2 linked regions of the Schizosaccharomyces pombe genome follow. Changing the gene in region 1 together with any one later gene gives a genetic interaction. Each region holds a gene or a part of one and is shown on either strand. Other genes may lie near its edges.

Evidence for each region. Genes that interact genetically often act in the same process or in processes that back each other up.
Region 2: of cek1 (region 1) and cut8, extra expression of one rescues a mutant of the other (dosage rescue), as found in Schizosaccharomyces pombe (one study listed by BioGRID).

The regions. Positions count from the first base shown.
Region 1 is NC_003421.2:1,747,711-1,754,724, reverse strand, and holds cek1 (serine/threonine protein kinase Cek1), read left to right. Parts: upstream 1-1,781; 5' UTR 1,782-2,075; coding exon 2,076-6,092; 3' UTR 6,093-6,463; downstream 6,464-7,014. Other genes in the region: SPOM_SPCC1450.12 (uncharacterized protein), read right to left, coding at 1-91, 160-438; nar1 (iron hydrogenase), read left to right, coding at 6,737-6,829, 6,908-7,014. UniProt on the Schizosaccharomyces pombe protein: May facilitate the progression of anaphase through direct or indirect interaction with the cut8 protein.
Region 2 is NC_003424.3:4,475,650-4,479,500, forward strand, and holds cut8 (nuclear proteasome tethering factor Cut8), read left to right. Parts: upstream 1-1,828; 5' UTR 1,829-2,200; coding exon 2,201-2,989; 3' UTR 2,990-2,992; downstream 2,993-3,851. Other genes in the region: protein Pex19, read right to left, coding at 221-825, 968-1,061; scs22 (VAMP/synaptobrevin-associated protein family protein), read right to left, coding at 2,993-3,646, 3,728-3,843. UniProt on the Schizosaccharomyces pombe protein: Together with nucleoporin alm1, tethers the proteasome to the nuclear envelope. Involved in ubiquitin-mediated protein degradation and facilitates the degradation of nuclear proteins like mitotic cyclin and cut2. Required for normal progression of anaphase.

The DNA.
Region 1 (7,014 bases):
TTTGGAACTTGAGCAACCATTTGTGCAAATGCGTAGCATCGGAATCATCCGGGAGAACAGAGACATTGCTTTTTGAGAGAGATTTTAATAGCTAACAAAGAATATCTGGTTAGTAACAATCCGCATACTTTTAAAACATTTCCATCCATTATTACGTACATTGCGGAAGTTCACATTCCAAAGTTGGTTTTGGCTATCAGGATCCAAAAACGGAAACGTTAAAATAAATCTTTTAAAGATGAAGCGTAAAACGGGAATTTGGGATTTTTCATAGGGGATCACGGATTTTCCTTTTTCCACAAATGGACTACCGAGATGATCCAAATTGGTGGGTTCGCTCACGAAGTTCAATTCGTCTGCGATCAAAAGAGAGAAAAGTTCCTTCTTCAAATAGTGTCTTTTTAAAGCATCTATCTCTTCTGGAGATGCTGTATCCATGTCGTAAATATCAATTATCCGCTACACGGAATGCTGTAAGAGGGGAGTACCAGTTCGTAAATAATATATGTAATATTTATTTCACCTAGGTCTATACCGACATTTAAGGGACACTCGTTAAAATATTTTTTGACTAGTATACGTTAAAAAGTATAAGATGTGAAGGCTAAGTTAAAATAAGCGAAAGTACGCTAATTAGGTTTATGGTTTCTACACTACCACTCCTTATGTTAAAATGTTAAAAAGGTGCAGAAATCGAAAAAGGTAGGCAAAAGGAAACATTCATTGATGAGAAAACATTCCTTAATAAATAAATTTAATTATGTGATTTTTTGTATACTGCTTGCTCCATTTTTTTTTATATAACTTTGCGGGAGAATGGACCGCTTTCCGTATTCTTTGTTTACACCTCTGAATGAGCAAGGAAATAGTTTAAGATTTCTGTTCTCTGAAAAATTTAGAAACTTTCAAAAAAAAAAAAAAGAAGTAAAATAATAGGAAGTCCAAATTCATATATCTTGTTATATTAGACTTTTTAAAAGAGTAACACAAACTGAATAAAAAATAAACAACATATCATTTACTTTTGTAAACAAGAGATCAAGCGATTCCTAAAAAACGGAAATATCATATTCCAATTAATAATTATTTTTAATTGTAACTACTGTGCTTTTTTATTTTTATTTTTTAAAAACTCAAGACAAGTCCGTCTGCTTTCACTCGATTGAAAAATCAATGATATAGAGATCAGCTGCAATCGCAAAATATTTCCTTTTAAATAGCTTATGTATTCCCACAAGTTGAAATTCTTCTATTATACTTTTCTGTACTTCCCAAGCGATGATGGTATTATTTATAAGTCTGTGTTTTCTAGACATAATAAAAAAAAAGCGCAGCCAATCTAACACGCTTCTGCATAGCAATTGATCCTCTTTCAAACAAAGTGATATCTTTAAACGTTTGCGTGCTAATTTTGCAACCATTTTTTTTTTATAAATGTTGATGTTTACCCCATGTATTTACCCATTTTTTGTGCCCATACATCTATAAATTCCATAGGCATCATACTGTCTATTTATAATCCAGCAGCTAAAACAATTGTTCTTAAATTGTTTATTTTACTTCACATTGTCGATTCAACTTGGCTACTTTACAGCACTCCACCCTAATTCATTTCATTGCTATGAAATCTTCGCCCCGAATACTTATCTAGTATTATACATGCTGTACAAGCATAACTTTATGTTCTGAAGCAGAGAAAAAATTTTTTATTTGTTGACGAATTATGCGGCCAGACTAATGAACCACAATACTAATACTAAGTTGTAAGCCACTTAACTCCTAACCACCACCAAGTACTAAAAATCGTTCTTTTTTTCTAGCTTGATTGTATAGATACTGAGTGGAAATTCTATCATTATTAAAAGAATTGTTTTTGTTTGTTTTAGAATTATCCAGCTGGGTATTTCATACTCTTCGTTTTTCTTTCCTTTGTTTTTTCAGTGACTCAGTTATTTATAGCGCGTTTATTTGTTTTATATAAAAAGTTGTCGAATTAGCATACTTACTGCTCATACTTCTAATGATCCTATCCCTCTATTGAATTTACTGTATGCTGGAGACTCCGTCAGTTGTATATGAAGCATATAAAAAACGAACGCGAAGAAGTCTTCTTGGAAGATGACCAAGCTCAACATTCCCAGGCAGAGCTTCTCAGCTCAAAAGATGAGAACCTTCAACCTTCCATTCCTTTATCTCCCGTTGCATTCGAGCTTGACTTTTCCGGAAACTTTCAATTTATTAGCGATAACTCATCCGAACTTTTGGATATACCCAAAGACAAGATCATTGGGCATTCTGTAGCAGAAGTCCTTGGTACCGATGGATACAATGCGTTTATGAGAGCCGTTAACTGTCTTTTGAAGGATGACTCTCATAGCTATCATGTTCGGTTCCAACATTCAATTAACGCTAATCATGCCAATCAAAACTATTACACCGCTAAAGGAGATCTTCCAAGCGATGAAAAAATTACAAAACCTTTTGATGCTATTGGAATTCTCATTCGTCATCCTGGGTCCGCAATTCCCGCACACACGATGTGGGTTGTGAACCCAGCTACCAATTCCCTTGGTAGTGTATCTCCTCTTGTAACTAAATTATTGGATGTCATCGGTTTCGGTGCCAGTCTTTTAGACAAATATTTATGCGACTTAAGGACTTCCTATCACAAGCATAACAGCTTAGATGCGTTACCACTTCCGACCCCAGAGTTTTGCCAAATATGTGAACGTGAAATACAATCATGGTTTTTCGAGTTGCACTCCAAGTTTTGTCTTAGCACAAGCACCTATGAATCTGTTGTACAGGCTGCTCAGGATTCCTTGCTTTATTTCCGGAGTACCTTACTGGAAATTCAGGAAGGAATGCAGAAAGATTCAAGTCTTGTTCCCGTATACAAAAATGAACCGCTTATTGTTGATGCGGATGATTATTTTTTTACCGATGAGAATAAACAAACATTATCACTATGTTCATTCTTAAGTCAGGTTATGTACTACTTGGAAGTGGCTATCGACATTACTATTCCTCCAGTGAAAATCATTGTGAATTTTGATAAAGTGGATTCTCTTCGTGTTCAGTCTCCGCGGTCAGAAAAAGCTACTATCGAGCTTGATAATTATAACCCGTCCTTAGAAAATTGCTCATCCGCAGTGATTGCTCTCTGGGAGGACATAAAGACAGCAGTTGATACTAAAATTACTGGAGTTTTGCGTCTTCGAAATGCAATCTATTACTCTGAACGTATTCGTTTGGAAATTGACCATCATGTTCAAGAAATTATTGATGATGTCGTATCGAATTTGGTAACAAATCATTCCTCTACTTCTTTAGGACACTTGGAATCTAAATTAGCGCCTTCAATTACCTTTCCTGATGCCTGCGATGCACTCGAGGCAGAGGAATGCATTACTCGACCCGGGAGCGCTACAAATACACCACAATCTGATAGAAGCCTTGATATCAATGATCTTTCAAGATCCTCTTCTTATTCAAGGCATCTTAGCCATGTTTCTCTTAGTAATCCAGATTTTGCAATTGGTTCGCCTATGAGTCAAGATAGTTCAAATTATTCTTCTCCGTTACATAGAAGAAAAGCATCTGATTCCAATTTCTCCGATCCTCGTTTTGATGATTTAAAGTATCTTTCTCCAAATTCGAGTCCAAGATTTGTGGCTTCTGATGGTCCGAATCGCCCAGCATCTAACGGTCGTTCGTCTTTGTTTTCTCGTGGAAGGGCCAGCAACCTTGGAGATGTGGGACTACGTCTACCATCACCATCACCTCGTATACATACGATTGTACCCAACTCTGCCCCTGAGCATCCTTCTATCAATGACTACAAAATATTGAAGCCGATTAGCAAAGGTGCGTTTGGCTCTGTGTATCTGGCTCAGAAAAGAACTACTGGTGATTATTTTGCTATTAAAATATTAAAAAAATCGAATATGATAGCAAAGAATCAAGTTATCAATGTTAGAGCTGAACGTGCTATTCTCATGTCTCAAGGCGAATCACCATTTGTTGCCAAGTTGTATTACACCTTTCAATCAAAAGACTACCTTTATTTAGTTATGGAATATCTTAACGGCGGAGACTGTGGTTCACTTCTGAAAACCATGGGTGTATTAGATTTGGATTGGATTCGAACTTATATAGCTGAAACTGTTCTTTGTCTAGGTGATCTTCATGATCGTGGAATAATTCATCGTGATATCAAACCTGAAAACCTACTCATATCACAGAACGGACATTTAAAGCTCACAGATTTCGGTTTGAGTCGGGTCGGTTATATGAAAAGACACAGGAGAAAACAGAGTTCTTCAATTCCTGTACTTGACTTGAGAGATCGCTCTAGTGCTATATCTGATTTATCACTTAGTACTGCTTCATCGGTACTAGAAGCACAGTCTTTGATAACACCAGAGCGTCCCAAACGGCCTTCATTAAATGAAAAGCTTCTTTCTTTAGATGGTACTAGTATTCGACTTGCTGGACAAAGTTTCAATTACGAGAACAGCGCTGAGGATTCTCCCACTGCAACAAATACTCCTACTTCTCAGGTAGACGAATCCAACATTTTCCGTAGCACAGATTCGCCTCGAGTTCAACCGTTTTTTGAAAATAAAGATCCCTCTAAGCGATTTATTGGTACACCTGATTATATAGCACCCGAAGTTATCCTTGGAAATCCTGGTATTAAAGCGAGTGATTGGTGGTCCTTGGGTTGCGTTGTTTTTGAGTTTTTATTTGGATACCCCCCGTTTAACGCGGAAACGCCTGACCAAGTCTTTCAAAATATTCTTGCTAGGCGCATCAATTGGCCTGCCGAAGTTTTTACTGCTGAAAGTAGTGTTGCTTTGGATTTGATTGATCGCCTTCTATGTATGAATCCGGCAAATAGGCTTGGTGCCAACGGAGTAGAGGAGATAAAAGCACATCCTTTTTTCAAGTCTGTTAACTGGGATACTATCTTAGAAGAGGACCCTCCATTTGTACCAAAACCTTTTTCTCCTGAAGACACTGTGTATTTTGATTCTAGGGGACTTAAAGGATTTGATTTCAGTGAATATTACAATCAACCTACGGTGACAGAAGCACAAAAATTGGAAGAAGAAAGACCTGCATCCTCTATACCCCAGCATGTGTCTGGTAATCGTAAAGGTCGTTTACGAAGCAATACGATTAGTACTCCTGAATTTGGAAGTTTTACATATCGAAACTTGGATTTTCTTAATAAAGCTAACCGGAATACTATTCAAAAACTTAGAAAGGAGCATATGGCTGTTAAATCAGCAAAGACTTCTGTTGATGACACCTTTAGTCAGTACATGAGTAGGTTTAAAGCCAAACTTTCAACTTCTCAAAGTGTAGGTCCTGTTAAGTCTTCGCGTCGAGCTTCAATGGCTGACTATGAGGCATCCACCACGACAAGAGTGCAAGATATTACTACAGATTCAATTGATTCAATTGATGATTTTGATTCTCTGAAAGAAGGTCGGATGCTTTCATTTTTTGATAATTTAGCGTTAGAAGATCATAAGGGTGTTTCAAGCACTATGTCAGCATCACAATCGCAATCAAGCATGCACACGGCGTTACCAGACGTTACAGAGGGTACCTCATCAGATGAACATACTACAATTCAGAAGGGCAGGATTGACAACTTACAAGCTCAGAGTTTAACTCATAAGCGAAATGCCATTTCTTATCCAGGGTTATTTCAGCTTGACCGTTTACAAATGATAATTCCTAAGGATGAAATTGAACTTGCGGAGATCTTGAAAAAAATTTTTCCAAAGTTAACGCTTGTTCTAATAGATGATCCATGGAGCATTCTTAAGAAGCTTTTGCAGAACGAGCAATTTAACGTCGTATTCTTACATTTTGGAAATGATAAAGTATCTTCTTCCCGATTAATGTATTCAGTGCGAACCAGTGCTACTATAAATTCAAGGGTGCCGTTTGTATACATTTGCGAGGACGAGACTTGCATTCCGACTGATTTACAATCTGATGGAGTTTTGTTGAAACCCATTACTTGTGAGAACATTGAAAGCTGTCTACGAAAGTTAGATGTTTGGCACTCTTGAATTGAATCTTACATACTAAATGCCAGATCAGCTTCATATACTGTTTCTTTCCTTTCATTTTATAACTTCCCATGCACATTCTTTAAAAAATTAACTATTTTTTCTTTTGACCAATGTGGCATTTTTATCCTTCTTTAAGTATTTATTTCAGTGCGTTGCATTCCTTAACTTGAACCCGCTGTTTATTCATGGACATTTGCATTTTTTATAAGTTTTCACACGTGAAGAACATTATGAAAATATTTGTATACTAATTTACCATAACCGTTGTTTTACTTTATACGGATCTCGTTTTGTTTACCCTCATTTCTTTAGTTTTTTTTTACTTATTTAAATCTACAAATAAAATATATCATTCGGAAATAACAAGCTCAAACTGTTTGATAAATACAATACTATAATAAAGTATCTTCTTTTTTATACATATATATATATATATTGATGATTTTCGGGTACTGAGAATGCAAACGAATAAGGCAGTAAACCATGTTTCACTATTCCATACTTCATTTATTTTTTTCAGGTCTCATAAAAAGGATAGTGCACCACAGTGTGGCAAATAATATTACTAAAATAAAGAATTTCTTGTGCCAATGACAAATGCTGGGTTTTACTTTTAGCAAGCATTGTAATTTTATGGCAGAATGGCAAAGTTGTCTGTAAATGACTTGAATGACTTCTTAAGTCCTGGAGCTGTTTGCATAAAGCCTGCCCAAGTTAAAAAGCAGGAATCCAAGGTAAGATGCATTGGAAGAGCAGCAAGTATAACATCTGTCACATCTCTATTTTTTTTGTTCAACCAACTAACATGATAGAATGACATTCGTATAGACGGGGATGCTTACTATGAAGTAACTAAGGATACTGGAGAGACCTCCGAACTTGGGATTGCTAGTATTTCACTGAACGATTGTTTGGCCTG
Region 2 (3,851 bases), on another chromosome or scaffold:
GCCTTGACCTAATGTCAGCTAAAAACTTCTAAACAACTTTATATAAACCAACTTAACATATTTTAGCAGTTACAATCAAAAGAATTAATTACCTAAGTTCGTGGGTTACTAAATTGAAAATGAAAATAAGGAAATTTTTACAAAGAATCAATTATATATAATCCAAAACCCTAAGTTCAATAATATAACAGCGATGATACATATCCTTTAGTCAAGCCACTTACTGGGTTGGACATCCTGCAGTTTCCATAGAATTATCAATCAATGGAGCTGGAAGCGGCTTTTCCTGTATTTCTTCTACCAGTTTCGAAATGATATCTGCATCTTTACGAGCATCATATTCGGGACTCTCAAAAATTTGAATACATTTCTGAATTTTCTGGTACTGTTCTTCAAAACCTTGCTTCTCTGTCTCCTTCGCATTCTTTAAAAACTTAGGATAGTTTGCTTCAAGATCTTTAAGGGGTTCATACAAAATCTCTTTACTGGTAACTTGTGACATTAGGGAGTTTAAGGCAGCCTCTAAAGCACCATAGTTAACGGCTCCATTATCCGAATCTTTTTCCGTTGCAAACTGATCCTCTAATATAACATTGAGTAACTGATCATTCTGAAAGCTAGACGAAAGTTGACTCCCATCCAAGCCAGACGGTCCCCCTAAGTCTTCAAATTTGCTCATCATTTCTTGAATAAGTGAATTCAAATTATCGTCATTCTTTATCCTCTCATTCTCTTTTGATGTATTACCGGTTTGTTTATGCTCATCTATGTTTTTCTTCTCTTCGTTCTTAAATGCACTGGGTACATCTAAATCATCTAGGATATCTTTGTTTTGTTAGTTGTTTCCTTTTAATGTAAAGTCCTTTCTACCCTCTCATTATTTTTTATATTTATGCAATGCAAAATTCACTTGAACGAAATATCGTAATACACAAATCGTAGTCAGGACATTACCGATGTTCCATACCATCCAAATCATCAAGGTCGTCAAAATTCGGCTTTGTGTTGCTTTTTGTATTTTCTTTACGGTTTTCGTCTCCCTCAATAGTTGGATTTGACATTCCGTTTATATATCAGATGTCAGCATACGTTTGTCGTTTTTCAAAAGCCTCTTGCAAGTTCAATTATCATGTAATTCACAAAATAAATAAAAAAGTAGTAAGTTCAAAAAAAATGAAAATTTGGAACTGCCAAAAAAAAATAATAAAGTGCTTCTCTATTATTTTTCATGTAGGTAAAACCGTAGTGATCGTTGTTTATCAAAGTATATCAGCGTGAAAACGTTCAAGTGCATTAAGATGCGTTATTTGGTTTCAAATTTGACGCAATTTTAAATCTTCAAACAACAAATTTAATGGAATTTTTTTTATTTACTGGATGTATGAATCGTTTTAATTATTCATTGTTTGTGTATCTGGTATGAATCGAGTACGAAATTAACGATCATAAAATCGTCGACACAAGAACGTAAAGTCTACCCCCTGCTTTTATTACTTGCCTATGATCAGTTGAAATGAAGCTTTGTTTTCATTTTTAGCATCACCAATAAGTTAGAATTGACTACTGTTTACCAACAACAATTAGTTAAATAGTTATTGACTATAACATTGATCCATACGCACAATTACTTCGAAAAAAATTATTATTTTGCTCTTCCAACTTAACGATTTTCTGTACTGCGTTAACATATTATTGTAGGCTTGACACTCAGCTGCGGTGACATTATATTAAATAAAATGTAATTTTTTCAGTAAACAAATTAAGGAATTAAGTAATAGTTTGGTAACGTCTCATGAGAAGAAAACTCTTGAGCCACTAAATTGTTCTTACCATTTTCCATTATCTTTTTTAAGAAATCGAGGTTCTAATTGAGCTGGTATTGCGGGCAATAGAGCTTCTTGTAATATAGAAATTATAATCGACGGTTTTATTTCATTTGGGCTGAGAAAAAAATTAAATTGCTAGCTTTCATAAGTCGATACACTGAGCAATAGCCATCCTTCCGGCTTTTAAAAAAGGAAGCTCATTAACAAAGTATCCTCTATCTTTGTTTTATTGTTACTACTTTTGAAATTTTTTCCTCTTTCTTTTGGAATATCCATTTCTTTGTAATTTTCATTTTCTTTGTTATAATTAATCAGACGATTTCACGTTTGAAGTTGGTATCTTTATTTGTTGTTACTGTTCATTTCCTTAATTCATGGAGACCTTATCTTATTCTCAGATTAAGAAACGCAAAGCTGATTTTGACGAAGACATTTCTAAGCGTGCTCGTCAACTACCTGTGGGTGAGCAACTGCCATTGTCGAGACTGCTACAATATTCAGACAAACAACAGCTTTTTACAATTTTATTACAATGTGTAGAAAAGCATCCTGATCTCGCACGTGATATACGGGGCATATTACCGGCGCCGTCCATGGATACTTGTGTTGAAACGTTGCGTAAACTTTTAATTAACTTGAATGACTCATTTCCCTATGGTGGTGACAAGAGGGGTGATTACGCATTTAATAGAATTCGTGAAAAGTACATGGCTGTCTTACATGCGCTTAATGATATGGTTCCTTGTTATTTACCTCCATACTCTACTTGTTTTGAGAAAAATATTACTTTTCTTGATGCCGCTACAAACGTTGTCCACGAACTGCCAGAATTCCATAATCCCAACCATAATGTTTATAAAAGTCAAGCGTACTATGAATTAACGGGCGCGTGGCTTGTTGTTTTAAGACAACTTGAGGATCGGCCTGTAGTCCCTTTACTACCTTTGGAAGAGTTGGAAGAGCACAATAAAACATCACAAAACAGAATGGAAGAGGCATTAAATTACCTTAAGCAATTACAAAAAAATGAGCCACTTGTACATGAAAGAAGTCATACTTTTCAACAAACAAATCCACAAAACAATTTTCATCGTCATACTAATAGTATGAACATTGGGAATGACAATGGAATGGGTTGGCACAGTATGCATCAATATATTTAAAAACTAGAACAGAAGGCCTATAAGGAAACATATAATGGCTAATAGGAAAGCGGTTTGCACAGTAACTGTGTTATGAATTTGAGGAACAACCTTGGCACCACTAGTCGGACGCCCAAAAGACGATGAAACGCGTGCAAGTCCTATTTGATTTCCACTGTTTCCAGCGAACATAGATGGACTCGTAGCTGTTGATTGTCTTGTGTTATTAATTACATTAGCGGTAGATCTTAATGCATTATTTTCATTGTTAGGAGAAGTGGTAGTAGGCACTGACTGAGGCTTTGGGTAAGGTTCATTTTCAGCGACTGTTGCAGTAGGAGCTTTTACGGCAGTAGATGGGGCTTCATGGGGCTTCTGGTGAGAAACTGCAGATGTTTTAGGAAGCTGGGTATGCTGTGTAGTAGCTGTAGATGGAGCAGCTACGGGATTTGCATGGGTCGAAGGAAGTGCCGTTCCGTCTATTCCTTTAGAGTAAGATTGATTAACATTACCATTTACTGTGGTATAATTGTCAGTGGCAGAAGTAGGAATAGATGTAGTCGTTGTTTGAGCTGGTTGATGGTGAGCATTAGCATGAGCATTTGCAGTACTGGGGCCTTCACTATAAACACATCGAATTTTTCGTTCCGATATATTAGCCTTGCTGACTTGAGTCCACTATTAAAGTATTGGTTAGAACATCAATTATGTATGGCATGTATTAAAAAAGTAAATGTAAGTATATCTTTTATCACATACAATATCTGCTATATCCATTCCCTGTAATTCTGGCTTCAATTCAGTGCTCTGGACCAAAAATTTATCGCGGCATTTTGTGCCAGGAGCCGGTTCGTGATCTAGAGGCTGTAGGATAACTATTAAA